Linked DNA regions of Alligator mississippiensis. The protein of the gene in region 2 purifies or fractionates together with the protein of the main gene of each other region. This does not show direct contact. Links are inferred from orthologs where the notes say so. Each region holds a gene or a part of one and is shown on either strand. Other genes may lie near its edges.

Region 1 (8,601 bases), on a different chromosome or scaffold from region 2:
TAGGGGTGTGAGAAATGGGCCCTATTCAATTCGGATTTGGCCCAAATCAGGGACAGCGATTCGATTAGTTGATTCAGATCACTGTCCCCGATTCGATTAGGTCAAATCCAAATCTGAAGATTCGATTCCGATTCAGAAAATCAGCAATTCAGCATAGAGCAACTTTAAATCTTTCTTCTACATACCTCAAGGTATCAGGCATGGCATGTGAATGCTGTGACACTGGGGCAGATAGCGCAACCCACAGGAGCTCGAGAGGGTGTGGGGGCCCTCCACATGCTCAGTGACAAACCCGGAAGCAGACCAGAAATACTTCGGGTCCACTTCTGGGTCTGCTGGGGAGCACATTAGGGCCCCCCCCAAAAAACTGGCGATTGGCTACGGGGGGGATTCCGGGTGCCCCCTGCAGACCCAGGAGGCAACAGTTGCTGTGTCAGGAGGTGGGGGGGCTCCCAAGCAGACCCAGAAGCGGACCGGAAATGCTTTTGGTCCATTTCTGGGTCTACTGGTGAGTGCGCTGGGGAGCCCCCTGTGCTCCTGTGGGACACACTATCCGCCCCAGCATTGCAGCATTCACAAGCCACCTAGTACCTCGAGGTATGTAGAAAAAACATTTAAAACTGTGTCTATGTCCGAATCGCTAAATCTCTCAGAATCAATTCAGAGAGATTAAAAGGGTCTCCTGATTAGATTTGTATTGGGAGATTCGGCCACCGAATCAAATCAGCAACCGAAGGTTTGCACAGCCCTAATATATACCACCCCCATCTATATCCAGGAGGTTCAAATTACATCGTCTCTGTAAAGCAAACCTCCCTCCTATAGCACTCACTGGGATACTGCATCCCAAACACAACTTCACAGTGGTCCAAAGGCTAAGAGACATTTTTTTGTGTATAATTTCTGGCACTTCCAACCCAAGCACCACTTCCCCCCAGAACCAAATTGCCACCACCAAATCACTGCCAATATCAGGACTTTGCAGACCAGATGGAATTGCCTGGCAGGCTGAATCCATCCTGATTGCTATAGTTTGCCAACCCCTGATCTAGAGTATGAGGAACATCTGAAGGAAAAGAGCATAGGCTGTAATCAAAGTTAAACAATAATGCAAACTTCAGACACGTTAATATAATATTGAAATGGAGCGATTCAGCATACAAAGGTCAGAAAACTAAGTGCAAGATTTTTTTTATTTTTTTTTTTTACTTCCGTGCAAAATACATGACAAATATGCACATAAAGTAATGATCTTAATCCACATGTAGGCACTCCTAAATGTCCAGCAGTTTCCATTGACAGAGTACTAACCTGTTTATTGACCTCAGCCATTGAAAGCTGTAAAGCCATAAGCATACAGTCTGCTCCACACACAGTTGTTCTTTCCGAGTCTGAAAATAGATGCCATTGTCTTCTAAAACTCTTGACCATATTTAAGATCTTTTGCTGAAAGGCAGCCATGTTCCTACAATAGAAGTCAGAGAAAGTAAGTTAGATTTTTAACTATCAGAGAAGTAGAATTCAGGAATGGACTTCCAAGCAAAGCAGTGGAGAGAAGGAACATGAATCTTTAAGACTGAATTGAATAAGCTTATGGAAGGGAAGGTGATAGGACAGGGAGCGTGGCAACATCAAGCAATGCATGATGTGAAGTCATGTGTTTATACCCCAATCTGGGGACTGCAAGAATATTTCCTATAGAGTGGAAGGTGTCTTTTAATCCCAAACCTCTGGGTTTTGGTTCATCTCAAACTCCTCTAAACTTTTTAGATCCCATAGTTCATCTGGTGCCCCTCAAGTTTCCTACAAATCACTCAGCCCATCCTCACCCAATATAAACCATCTCCTTCTTTACAATGGATCTTCACAGTACTGTTTTTCCAGTTTTTTAATCCTACCCCATCACCCTCTGAATCCCTTCTTTTGGAGAGGCGAGTGATCAAACTGAAACAAAACACTTATTGCCACATTAAAGCTGAGACCCAGACAAAAGTTGAGGGCAAAAGGGCAAGTGGTGGGAGGACAAAGCAAGAGATGCAAAAGTTTTATGATAGCCATGACAGTTTCTTCAGCGCAACCAAAGCTATCTATGGGTCAAGTGCATAAGGAGCCATTCTTTTGAGGTCCAAGGATGCAACACTCTCTAAAGACAGCTCCAATATGAAAGTAAGGTGGGATGAGCACTTTCAAGAGCTCCTGAACTGAGACTCTAATGTGAAAGACAATACCGCTGAAGCCATTCCACAACCCCATTAACGATTACCTTGCAGATCCACCAACTTATCAAGAAGTAAAAGCAAATAAGCAGATAAACAACAAAGCATCTGATCCTGATGGAATACCAGCTGAAATTTATAAGCAAGGTGGAAACACGTCCTCTCATCAACATGTCTTATTGTGAAAATCTGGAAACCTGAACAGATACCCAGTGACTTGAAAGAATCATTACCATATTCAAGAAAGGAGATATATTGCAGTGAACACTGATATTGCCCTCCTGCTCACAGCTGGGAAGATCCTTGCCTACATTCTTATCAGCAGACTCACTTTCCTCACTGATGAGATTCTACCCAAGCCCCGGTGTGGTTTCAGATCACTCTGATGGACAGTGGATATTATCTCTGTTGCTAGACCTGACTAAGGCCTTTGATTCAATCAACAGAGAGGTTCTTTGTCAGATACTAATGAGATCTGAATGACTGCCAAAATTGGTTACCATTATCAGATTTCTTCATAACAGAACCACAAACCTCCTGAGCAATGGTGCAAAAATGGACTCCTTCACTATTAGGACTAGAGTCAAGCAAGGATGTGCAACTGCACCAGTACTTTTCCATGTACACCATAGCTATATCATATTTCATTGCTGATGGACTTCCATCTGGAGCCTGCTGCAGTCCAGTATTACATGGATGGGAATCTCTAATATCAGCTGGTTACATTTCAAATCCAAGATAACCAACACCTTCATTACGAATTTCCAACATGCCAGCCTGTGTTATGCATGCCCACTCAATTGAAAAGCTCCAGGTCACTTTGGATTGCCTCTGTGAAGCATATGAAATGCTTGGCCTCACTGCCAACTTCACAAAAAATGCAGTACTTTACCAACCCACCCCAAACCAAACAGCTGCTCCACCACATATTACAATCAGAAGGCAATTCTTGAAGATAGTTGAGCATTTTCCCTGTCTAGGTAGCCCCCTTTCCCAAAAAGTAAACATAGACAATGATATTCAACACCGGATAAAACCTGCCAGTGCTGCCTTTGGATGTCTCCAAAATTGTGTCTTCAATGACCATGACGAACTTCTCGCCTACAGGCTGCAGTCATCCATACCTTGTTGTAGGAGTGGGGAACTTGGACAACGTAGCAGAAACCCCTGGAAGCTTTGGATCACTGCCATCGGCGATGCCTGTGAAAAATCCTCCATACCAGCTGGAAGGACAGATGAATGAACGCCTGTCTTCTGGTTCAAGCAAACACCACCAGCATTAAAACTGTGTTTACACAGCACTAGCTCCGTTGGAAAGGACACGTCATAGGATGGCCAATAACCAGCTCACAAAACATGTCCTATGCTCCCAAATCACCGATGGTCACCCCTCTAGGGGTGGGCAAGGAAGAGATGCAAGGACATCTCAAAGGCCAATCTGAAGAAATGTCATAGTAGCATCAATACCTGGGAAACTCCAGCACTGAGTCAGCCCCTGTAGCAGCGTGATGCATGACAAGGCATCAAACATTTTGAGCAAATTCACTTCACTAAGAGGTGTATAGATGAGAGACAGACAAGACAGACCTGTGATCCTACATCACCAGGATCTTCCTGTTCCTTCCTCCCTGAACTATTCACCACATCTGTTGTTGAACACGTTGATCTTGACTCAACCTCTGAAGTTATTTGTGGACTCACTGATGACTTCCCTGTTCACTGGAGTACCCTTATTTACCAGCCTAGGACAAATCCTACTCCTTGCCCTTCCCTAAATCCCTTCTTGGAGAAGGGGGTGACCAGCTCAATCTCCACCCCATGCAATGTGTCATCTGGCCTGTAGCACTCCCCATAGCTCTGGAGATCTGGTGGCAGGGAAGCACTGTCACTTCCCTGCTGACAAGCCTCTGGTCCCCTGAGGAGCCTGTCAGGTCCCACGGGGAGGCTGGATGACAGGACTGCATGGGCTGGAGATGGACCACTACTAGCATTCAACACACCCCAGGTGTACTGGACTGTACACCTCTGACTGCACCACCTCTGCATGCATCCATGCGTTGTGCATCTGACCCCAGCAGCCTTCCCTGCCCAAGCACGGGAGTGGGGGGGCCGGCAGACCTGATGATCTGTAAGGTCCCCTCCAGCCCGTAACAACCATGAAAGAATGAAACACTGCAGGGCAGATAACATGGCCCCGCGTGCGACACCGTGGTGACCCACGGTCACTCTGTTGCCAGCCAGGGGCACGCACAGGTCCAGGCACGAGGCTGGGGATCAGATCCGGGTGCACGGGGGGGGTCCGCGCAGGCTCAGGCAGGGATGCAGGTGCACGGTCCGAGCGCACCGGCGGATCCAGGCGCCCAGGCGGACCGAGCCCGTCAAGCCCCGGAGCTACCGCACCTGCGTGGCTACTGCAACTGCCCCAGGGCCCTGCAGCCAGGCGACTGCCCAGCGCCACTCACGCCTTCCAAGTGCCCCGGCAGCCCCGGGCTCCTGGCGCCTCCGCTCCGCTTTGCTCAGGCAAGACTCGCGCTCACGGCTTTCAGCGTCCTCGGGATCCCCCTTCCCCAGGTCCGGGCGGGTCCGAGAGAGTGGCTGCAGGGAGGATCTCGGACACCGGTACCTGCGCGGAGGGGAAGCGAGGGGAGGGAGGGAGAGGGGGAGGGGGAGGAGGCGGAGTGTCCTTGTCCTTGCCCCGCCCCCCCGCGTTCCGGTCCAGCCAATGAGCGGGCCCCAAGCGCCAACGCACGCGAGCCCCCGGCGGTTTGAATTTAAATCTCCCGCAGCCGACCAATCAGAGCGCCGCAGCCTTTGGCCCGGAAGTGCGGGGTGCCGGGGACGGAAGCAGTGCTTTACGAACAGGTTCGCGGGAGATCTCTAGGTAAGGTGAGGTCGGGATGGGGTTGGGGGGTGTTGCGGGGGAGGTGTGGGTGTTGGGGGGGTGGTTAACAGCTGCGGGGTGGGGAGAATAGTGCCACCCTTCCCCTGTGTGCGGGGGGCCCTGCCCTGTCACGGGGCTCGTCATCCCGTGGAGGGGAGGCTGAGGCAAGGCTGCGCTCCCCCAGCCTTCCTGAAACACCTTGGGACGAGGGGCAGGAGCTGCTTCCTCTGCCTGGGGCTCATCTGGGCCCCTTCCTGGTGCTTGCGGGCTGGTCCCCTGCTGCACATGGGGATGTCCTAAGGCCCCTTCTAGCTTTGCTGCTGTGTGGGAACTCTGTGATGCTAAAGCCCCTATGGAGCAGGCAGAGCCCCACAGTCAGAAAATGTCTGTGTCTGACTTCTCGTGCCCCAATGCTGTTGGTAAGATCATGTCCCAGGTGTTTTCTTCTCAAGCGTGTGGTTTGTTTTGGGGGGTTTTTTTGTCTGGGAATATTTGTTGTAGCCATGTTAAAGAACAGCTGTTTTACAAATAAAATTTCCTACCCAGGAGAACCATACAGCCCTTTACCTCCCCCATGTAATACGAGGTTTTATTTCTACCTCGGAGAAATTTTACAGTCTTTCAATTCATCTTTGCCCGATGAAGAACGTTTGGGCCCAGAAACTTGCAAATAAAGACTTTTTTGTAACTGTCTAATTTGTTTAATAAAAGATATTACCCTTACCCCAAGAAGCTTTGTCTGGGGGTGGGAGTATGTGCGCGCGCATGCACGTGCGGTTTGTTTGTTTGTTTTTTTTAAATCTCCTCCTCCTGTAACAGTTGTTGCTTCTATGCCACCTCCATCTTACCACTGAAATGAAGCAAGACTCTGTTAGGAGCGCTGCCTATGCTGTGGACTGCGAGGATTACGTGCACGTGGTGGAGTTCAGTCCGTTTGATAGTGGAGAGGCATGTTCCCTAATTGCATATGGTGGCAACAATTATGTCGTTGTCGGGACTTGCAGGTTTCAAGTGAGTAGGTTTTTTCTGTTATTTTTTTTAACTGAATATTTGCAGTTTGGGGGGTTAATTCATCTTTAAAAGGAATGGTTAAGGAGTACATTGGAGCCACAGCATTTTTTTTTCCTTTATAAAATCACTTTGAGTTGGGCCCATTTTGTTTTTAGATTCCAGCATAATTGTTCTTCAGGCATGTATGTTCATAGAAATTCACTTCAATGAAAATTATGTATATTACTGTGAGGTTTGATTCTGCTACTATAACTTCTTTTTGATCACTGAATAAGACACAAAAATAATAGGTCTTTTCTCTTGGAAAGAAAGTTCAGTTTCTGTGTCTTTTGGAATGTAGGTAATTGCTACCTGGGGAGTTGTGCAGCTATTAGTTTGGACTGTGCCTGGTGAACTGGAGATGTGCTGTGTGTGTTTACAAAGTGCCATAATTTATTATATCTGATTCAACTCTTCTTCCCAGAGCACTAAATCCCAATCTGTATGAATCTGTTACTTATGGACTGACTTCCAGCCAATGGCTGTGATACCAGAAATTAATAATTACTTGCCATATTTCCTCAAATATAAGATGAGGCTTTTTTCCCGTTCGGAGGTGGAGGGGGGCGTGGAAACCTTTTGCTTGGAACAGAGTTTGGGCCAGGCAAACAGCTGCTCCTGTTCAAGATGCAGCCATGGTAGCTTGTGTGGCAGGTAGGAGGTGTTCAGGGAAGGGGCATACGGTGTGAGGGGACATGGGAGGGGGGGATGCACAGAGCAAGGGGGCATGGAGAAAGGTGCACACAGAGCATGGAGAAACGGTATGCAGGGAGCACAGTGCAGAGGGGAACACGGTGGGGGGGAAAAGCACAGTGTGGGGGAGCTCATGAGAACAGGTGGCGGGGCAGCATGGGTGAATGGATGTATGGTATGAGGAGAGCACAGGGCAAGGGTTTGTAGGAATACAGGGAAGGGACACAGAGGAAGGGGTTGCAGCGGGGAGTATGGGTGAAGGGATGCATAGAGCAAGGGGAGTGTGAGGAAAGGGACATGGGGGATGAGGTGTGGAAGGGGCCACTCCATGCAAGGGGAAGCGCAGGGGAAAGGGCATGCAGATACAGCAGGTAGCATAGGGCAGGAACACGTGGAGCAAGGGGAGTGTGGGGAAAGGGACACTTAGGGTGCAGGGCAAGTGGAGTACAGAGCACAAGGGGCACAGGGAAGGGGCATGCAATGAAGGGAGAGCGCTAGGAAAGGGGGACACAGCAGGTGGAGCACAGGGAAGAGAGAACGTGGAGCAGCAGGCATGGTGCTGCAACTCCAGTCTTAAACCTGACTGCAGCTGGAGGCTGAAGCTGGACCTGCTGCTATTGCCTGGCGTTTAACTTTCTGTACCTCCTTTATGCCTCCCCCAACCTTGAAATTGACAGGACCTAGTCAGTTCAGGGCTGCTTACAAAACCTTCAAGTTGAGGCTTTTGCTTCACTTTACAAATTATATAGGTAAACAGAATGCAGTTATGGCAAAAAGGAGACAGCAGTGCAGAAGAGATCCTATGCATAATCTTTATTTGTTACGTAATCAGTAGGCAAAAAAATTAGAACTGGCATGTTATACAGTTAAATTATGCACCTATTCAGTATACATATAGGTGGTAGTCTTTGCATAATTCATGTTGGCCAATTGTTAGGTAAAAACAAAATGCTTCTTGTGAGCATATAAGCATCAAGAGTCAATGTAAATTATTTTTTAAACGGTGCTTAACTTCAACAATACAAAGCATTTCTTTTCAGTGAACATGTTTGGAAACCTAGAGGGGAGTGTTCTAGAAACTGGATCTAGTTTCTGAAATTCTTATCTGAATCTATCTGTGTATAAAAGAACATTATTTATGCATCCAGTGATCCAACAGCATTTACAATAGCAATATAGCAGGGACATGTTCATAGAACTTTTTTTTTCTATTCCTTCCAGTAGATGAAACAACATGGTAATAAGCTTTTTATAAGTTCTTGTGGTCATCTTTGATGCCTCTACTACCAATGTAGCCTCTACCTTTTTTTCTCTTTTTTGTTTGGAGTAGATAGTCCATGCATGCTGGAAACATTCATTACTACGGACTTAACTTGAAAGAAGCTATCTGTATCTTGTTGACTGTGTGCTGCTTTTTTCTTTTTCTTTTCTTGGTTCTTGTCAAAAGATGGATAATACTTGTATGCATGTGAAACTTCCCCCCCCCCCCCCCCCAAAAGCTCCAATGCATTGCATCTTAACTAAACCTATGAAGTCATGATCTGAAACGATGACAGGCTTAGTGTGCCTGCATACACACGTTTTTAACCTTGTTTCCAAGACTAACAAAGATGTAAATTGTAATCTAAGATTTGTGATGTATACACCTGTTCAGTAGAAACTGAATATCAGCACCTCACTTTACATGTCATAGGTCACTCAATATTATTATTTGTGTTCTGTGATTTGTTGCTGTACAGACCTACAAAGAGGGCATGGACT
Region 2 (7,416 bases):
CTACGGGGTAGGTGCAGGCAGGGAGGGATGGAGTGCTGCCACGCACCATCCTGTGTAGGTGCTGCCTGCCTGGCCAGACATGGGAGGCAGGGGAAGTCAAACGTGGCAGCTGCTACCACTCCCCATCAGGCCACGTGCCACCCCCCTGCTTGGCGGCCTAGTTCCACGTTCAGCTGTGCACCACTCTGGCCCCCTCCTGCTTGGCGTCCAGCTGCACACCACCTCCTCTCTCCCTCCCCCCCCTGCATCCAGTCACTGGGGTACAGTGACCCAAAAAGGTTGAAAACCCCTGTAATAAGGTAATTACCACAAGTAGTCAAACCCAGTGCTTTGAGACAAGAAGTCAGGGCTCTGGGCTTCTATTCTCTGCCACTGACTCTTCTTGGCCTCAGCTAAATTACTTAATCTTGGTTCTGGTTTCTTTATATTTCAAATGGGAACAAAAATTTTGATCCACCTCCCCACACAATGTTACCAATCACTTATGCTTGTGTAACCCCTGACCTTGGGTTTTGAAGAGATAAGCAGAGTGGGGTGAGGCCACTCAAAGTCTAGGAAAACCAAACCCAAGGAGTTGGTCTGAACTATGGCCCTCTGCTGTTTTGAGGGCTAACAGGAGTGGAAGTGGAAAAAATAAAAGAGCTGCAACATGGAGGCCATTTTTACCTGGAGCCAGTGTAATTAGAGCATGGGAGAGGCCTTGTTCCCTGACATGCTCCCAGCACCATTAAAGGGGCCCCAGGGAGATTGTGGAGGAGCCCAGTCTGAGCACAGCTGGGAGCAGGATCAACTTCCCCACAGAAGAGACACCAGCAGGGAGAGAACCTGACTGCTGATAGAGTGGGTGCATCTACACATGCTGTTAGCACGCAAAAAACTCTGGTACATATCGCACTGGAGTGTATTGCTCCTGGGCACACCACCTGAATGTGAGCCTGAGTCTCCAGCATGCTAACCAGGTCAGAGAAACCCTAACTGGCAGGGGGCCCAAAGGTTCAGCCTGCCAGCCTGGGGCTGCTCCAACCCAGCTCAATGTGTTGTGGAGGGGCTCGGCTGGGCCATGAGTGTGCTCCAGTGTGGGGCTAGCCAGCAGGCAACCCCCACACAGAAGCACTCTCGTGCACCAGCCAGCCATGTTAGACTACACATGCAGTACTGTGAAGTAAAAAAACTCCACAAAAGGGTAGTGCTTGTAAATACTCTTTGCTGTGGAGTTTATTACTTTCCTGTAGCCTAATGGGGGCACACATGTAGATATAAGACATTTGCCACGCACCTAATTAGTCTACTCCACTGTAAGTGTCTCGTGTAGACACGCCCAGTGAATTGCACTTAAAAGGCCACAGAAGTTAGCGTAGTCAGTGTGTTGTGAAGTGCTGAAAGTCCTTGTGCCATCTGGAACAGCTCTTACCTGTGCACAAGGTAAAGAGCCTCAACCCAATGGGTCCGTATGAGACTGATGAGTTGAGGTTTTAAGTTATACTGGTGAAAAGGGAAATTTTGTTATCAGATTTCCGTGTGGGGTTTCATGGCTTATATTACACATTGTGTTCTAATGCCTACGCACATAAATTTATCTGACTTGTTTGTACCCTCTTCTTACTAAAGCAATGTTTGGGGACACTGACTTCCCACAGCCACACCAGGCAAGGGGTTATACATGCAAGTAAGTTTAAGGGGTTTTACAATATGAGGCAGCAAAGCTGTACAGACCACTGAGAGACAGACCTGCCCATCTGAAGACGATGTTTAGAGTGCTGTTTTATTCCCTCTTCCCACAAATTGACACACTGATCTGCCTCTTTCTCATCCCTCCAGCAATGGTGCACACTGTTATCTCATGTTTTCTAGCAGCAAGTCCCAGGCATTAGAAAGAAGGATCTAGAACAGAGATGCTCAATCTCTGGCCTGCGAGCCAAATGTGGCCTGTGGAGCTTTGGATTCCGGCCCTCACCAGCACCTAGGGATGATTCCCTAGAGGGGAATCATCACTTCCCTCGATCAGCTGGCAATGCTCCTACTGATGTAGACTAGTATGCTGCTAGCCTTCTTAGCAACAAGGGCACTGGTGAGGCCACATCTGGAGTACTGTGTCCAGTTTTGTGCCCCCCACTACAGAAAGGATGTGGACATGTTGGAGAGAGTCCAGTGGAGGGCAATGAAAATAGTTTGGGGGCTAGGGCACACGACTTCTGAGAAGAGGCTGAGGGAGCTGGGCTTATTTAGTTCAGAGAAGAGAAGACTGAGACGAGATTTAACAGCAGCCTTCAACCACCTGGAGGGGGGTTCAAAAGAGGATGGAGCTGGACTGTTCTCAGTGGTGACAGATGACATTAAGGAGCGATGGTCTCAAGCTGTAGCAAGGAAAGTTTAGTTGGATATTAGGAAAAAACTCTCACAAAGATGGTAGTAAAGTACAGGACCAGGCTACCCAGAGAGGTGGTGGGGTCCCTCTCCTTAGAGGTTAAGACCCAGGTGAACAAAGCCTTGGCTGGGATGCGATGAGGGTAGCCAGCCCTCCAGGATTGCCCTGGAGGCTCTAGGAATTAGAGACAAATCTCCAGGAGATGCCAAGAGTCACCCAGGAGATAAACAATAGACCATTCATTAAAATAAATATTAAATGCTGGAGCAGATTTGTACAGTAATCCCGTATGTTTTTTAAACATAACAGTCGCGTGCATTTTGCCTTCCTGACGTAAAGTCTACATATCAAAATCCATAACTGACGCATGCGGGCACGCTCGCGTCGCGTGTCACGGGTACACTGCCGTTCTGGAAACCTCCCCAAATAGATTAAACCGAGCCACAACCCTCCATGAGACAGCTGGGGCTGGCCCTGCTCGGCGCGGGGGGCTGGCCTACATGCGAGCCCCCAAGATCCCTGCCAAACCTGACATGATTGCAGGAGGAGGGGAAGACCCCCCTGCGGCAGCCGGGCCGGCACGAGGGTGCCCCTCCGCGCTCGTGGGCAGCTCCGACAGCCCGGCTGTCACCAGAGGCGCCCGCAGGCGGCACCGCGGGGCGGGGAGGGCAAAGCCTGCCCGGAGGATGAGGAGACCCGAGCGGGGTTATGGTAGGCCCCTGCCCCTGCCCCGGCCTGCGGGAAGCCGAGCCGAGCCACACTCACGATCATGTCCTCGTGCGACGTGTCCACGGTGTTGATGACCGACACCTGCGGGGAACAAGCGGGGTAGGGTCAGACCACCAGACTATGTACCACCACCACCCCCCCGGCCCCGGCGCCTACCATGGTGGCGGCGGCGACACCGGCCTCCTCCTCCTCCCGCTCCCGCGGCGGCGCTCAGACGTGGCAGCGCCCGGGTCCGCCGGCAAAGACGTCCCGGCCGGAAACAAGCGCGGGCGCGCCCGGCTTCGTCCTCCCCAGCGCCCGGGTCCGCCGGCGAAAGCGGCCCGGTCGGGAACAAGCGCGGCCGCGCCCGGGTTCCGCCCGCCCCCCGCGCCTGGGGTGGAGACGCACAGGCTGAGCGTGAAGCCCAGAAGCGGGGAGGTGCTGCGCCCATAGACTCACCCGGGAGCTGTTTCTGGCGGTGTCTCCTGCACGTGATGATTCTGCACAAGCAGCCTCAGCTCAAACCCTTGTGCTAGGTATCTTGATAGATAGACATCTATACAGACTGAGTAAAGAAGAGAGCTCTCTCTGCACATCTCTGCTTTGAGTCTGTAAGGTGCAAACCTCCGTGCTTGACTTCACGCAAACTGTCCTTGCACAGCAGCTGATAAAACAAGCAAACCTCCGCTCACAAATGCTGCTGTATAAATAGCAGTATTGATCGATGGATACAGATAAGGTGCAAATCTTTCTGTTTGATTTCAAGCTAGCCTTTCACTGCTATAGGCATATCTAGGTAGGTAGGCAGATATAACTCAAGCTTTTGGGGGCTAAGGTTCACTTCATCCTGTGAAAGAAGGTGCAGAAAGCTGGGAATAAGGAGAGAAAAATTAGAGTACAACATTCAAGGGGGAGAAGGAGGTGGTGCTGGGAGAGAGAAGCAAACAGGTATTAAGCCCATATTCAGAAATCTGAAGAGAAGTCTGCAAATGTGGCAGCTGCATTCCCAGGGCTTTTACTACTTCATGGTTAGCCACTTGACTTCCCCCAAAAGGCTCAGAGCAACAGCAAGTAAAAAAAAAAAAAGCACTAATCTACTTTAAAATATTACCTAAAAGACAGTTTTGCATCCTTTAAAAAAGGCATCTAATGGTAACAAGGAATATATCCATTCATCAAACAGTCATAACAGAGAGAAACTATTTCAGGGGCTAAGAGGGGTTGTGAGCTGATATTTAAAAGAAGGGAGGCTCAGAGAGATGTGCAAAGATGCAGTAATTTGCTGAACTCGGACAACAACAATGGGGCCTTCAGGAACTGTTTCAAGAAGGGATGGGATCTAATCTAGAGCCTTTGCTCTTGTTTTGTGGAAACAGCAGTGAGGACAATAGATTGGGGGCCAGATGCTTCTAGTTTTGACACTGCAGGTGGCTCCTCTGAGGTCTTGGGTAAGTAATTTTGTTTCTCCATCTCAATTTCTCTATCTGTGCACTGGGGAGAATGATGTCTATTTTCCTGTGTGACGTGCTTTGGGACCTTCAGATGAAAGTGTAAAAGTTAATAATGTTCCCCAGATGTTTAAAAGCCAAAAGGATGGAGTTAATGTTAATCTGCAACTTTACAGGCCACAGTGTAAAGATTGAAAGGCAGGTGCAATCTGATCATGGTTTACAGAAGACAGTGTGTCTGTATTTGGGACAGCTTGATAGGGAAGGAGATAGTGTATTGCTGTAGGAGAAAACCAGAAGCACCTGTTTTGTTCTCAATGCATTATGGCCACCTGAGTGCACCTTGCAGCCTCATCATCATCACATCCTCCCCCTCATGCATTCCCAGAGCTGAGCTTACTATCTCTGAAGTGCTCTGGGCTCAGCAAAACAACAGTTGGTAAAAGTGAACTTCATTGTCCTTTCACGATGAGGCACTTCCTTATGTTCGGACAGTGTTGGCCTGGCACACCAGGGTTTTGGTCCCTGACTGAGGTCCCTGAGCACAGCCACAGTGATAATGTAGCAGGTGGACTTTAAGGAAACAGATAGGTTTTTCAGCATTCCTGCCATTTAAAAGCAGTGTTCCTGCTTATATTCTTCCAAGTCATTTTACAGTGCAATATACTTCTTGCTATTATTTCTACTTGTCGACTTTCTTACCCAAGCTGCGTGTCTTGCAGCTTGGGTAAGAAAATCCGCTTGGCACTTTCTGTTTCTGATTCTTTTGCAATAGCACAGAGATGCAATGTCTGAGTTTCCAAAACATTTACATTCAAACAAAAAGCTTTGCTAATGTTTAATTTAAATGGAGAAAAGTTTCCATTCCAATTTTGGTTTGTAAAACAAACATATCTACAGCCCTGTCATTGCATATTGGGGCTCTGTTCCCTTTACAAGCATAACCATTTATAAAGTGGTATCAATGAGATCTGTAGATCATTCAGATGATTTGCTACTGAAAGGAGGGAGAATGGTCTTGTAGTCAAGGGCGTGGTTTTTATGAGATATGGATCTAATTCCTACCCTTGCCACAGACTTCCTGACTGACTTGGAACAAGTCATGATACAGGTGCAAAATGAGTTATAATGCTGTCTTTTTCTTCTAATTGTTTGTGTTGCCTGCTTAGAACGTGAGCTGTAAACGGGACCAAAGTAGCCTTAAGGATATATTAAATGCTTTGGAAATTGGGACCACGAGCTGCTCACAAAAACGATCTTGTGATGGAAGTTCTAATACGATTTGGCCAGTGACGGCCATCACTTCGGCAGTGGTGGCTGCTTGCCTGTTCTTTGCCACCATAAGTTCTGGTGCCATATACTGAATATAACCCAAGAGGCACTGGTGATGCCTGTGTTTCTCCTGTTCTCTTGTGGCATGTTTTAGTCCCCCTCCCTTTTTTTAATCAGGTGTTTTCTGTCTCTGAGGCACCAGAAGATGTTCTTGCAGATGCTTTTTGGACAAAGAGCTACCTGCGATGGCTTGGGAGACCCCTTCCAGTCCCGTGTTCCTTACAGGAGAAGTGTAGATGGAAAAAGGGAGGGAAGAAGGGACAAAGCTCACCAGGAGAAGAACATACGGTTGGATCCATTCGCACGTGCGCAGTTTGCAACGTTCGAGTCAAATTTTGAAATAGTCCCAACAAATGCTGTTGCTGAGACCAGTTGTTCCTGTGAGCTGCTGAACACGCCATTATTGCTTGGCAACTTACCATGGGCCTTGTGTTGTTCTCGGAGAGGATTTGACCGGCAGGGCTGGACCGTTTGGGTTAGGCGAGCAGGCTGTTTTGTCCCGAGGGAGCGGGAGAGAAGATGTTGCGGGAGAAGCTGGGCCTTGTGGACAGTGTTCTCGGAGAGGATTTGACCGGCAGGGCTGGACCGTTTGGGTTAGGCGAGCGGGCTTTTTTGTCCCGAGGGAGCGGGAGAGAAGATGCTGGTGGAGAAGCAGCCAAATAGACCGCAGAGGCCCAGGCCTGTTGGAGGAGCAGAGGAGACAAACCCACAGGACAGGGGAGGTTAATTCCCAAAGTTACTGACTCAGTTGTTTGGGGGCCCCCTGCAAGATGCAGTTTTGCCGTGAAGAAGCGAGGGGGTGGCGAGCGGACGCACACAGGAGACCCTCGTCTGCGGGGCCCCCTGCCGCCACAGGGTTTGGGAGGTCCCAAAAAGCAGTCCTAAGGGCTGCATTTGACACAGCGCAGGCGGAAGCAGGGGTCACTGGAAAGGCTCCTAGGCACGACGGGGAAAACAGCCATTCTTTCATCAGCCTAAGCTGATGGATACAAGAACAGGCGGAGTTTTTCCCAGTTAAAGCGCGGAGTTGAGGACGAGGCTGAGGGCTGCCAGCGCGGCTGTCCCCGGCGGCGGGCGGGGGCCGGGCCGGGGCGGGGCGGGCGGGCGGGCGGGCGGCGCGGGGCTATTTCTGGCGGCGCGGCCGGGCTGTTCCAGCGCCTTCCAGCCGGGCACAGGCGGCGGCGGGGAGAGGAGAGGGAGCCCGACACGGACACGGACCCCGGGCCGCGGGGCCTGGCGCCATCTTCTGCCGGCGGATCCCCGCAGGGCCCAGGCGGGCCGCGGCGCCGACATGACGAACGTGTCGTACCACATCTCCAACCTGCTGGAGAAGATGACGTCCACCGACAAGGACTTTCGGTAGGGCCCGGCCCGGCCCGGGGGGAGGGGGCCTGGGCCGTGGCGCTGCCCCGGCGGGGAAGCGGCGCTTGTTGTTCATATCATTTGTTTGCTTTTCGTTGTATATGTCACGATTTACATCTCGTTTGCGGCTCTGGCTGTGGCCGAATCGGCCCAAACGAGCGCCGAATCGGAGAGTTCGCCACTGTCCCCGCCCGCCCCCCG

The links. The genes of interacting proteins can lie anywhere in the genome.
Region 1: the proteins of SEC13 (region 2) and NUP37 purify together in Homo sapiens (affinity purification with mass spectrometry; 5 studies listed by BioGRID and IntAct, counting the BioPlex papers as one, with this or other methods). This does not show direct contact. The link is inferred for Alligator mississippiensis from reciprocal best matches to the Homo sapiens genes SEC13 and NUP37.

Annotation. Positions count from the first base shown.
Region 1 is NC_081827.1:107,339,892-107,348,492, forward strand, and holds the start of NUP37 (nucleoporin Nup37), read left to right. Parts: upstream 1-5,416; 5' UTR 5,417-5,435; coding exon 5,436-5,516; intron 5,517-5,916; coding exon 5,917-6,108; intron 6,109-8,601. Other genes in the region: PARPBP (PCNA-interacting partner), read right to left, coding at 1,312-1,461. UniProt on the Homo sapiens protein: Component of the Nup107-160 subcomplex of the nuclear pore complex (NPC). The Nup107-160 subcomplex is required for the assembly of a functional NPC.
Region 2 is NC_081835.1:15,063,506-15,070,921, reverse strand, and holds the start of SEC13 (protein SEC13 homolog), read right to left. Parts: upstream 3,360-7,416; 5' UTR 3,254-3,359; coding exon 3,251-3,253; intron 3,176-3,250; coding exon 3,131-3,175; intron 1-3,130. Other genes in the region: cullin-associated NEDD8-dissociated protein 1, read left to right, coding at 7,145-7,212. UniProt on the Homo sapiens protein: Functions as a component of the nuclear pore complex (NPC) and the COPII coat. At the endoplasmic reticulum, SEC13 is involved in the biogenesis of COPII-coated vesicles.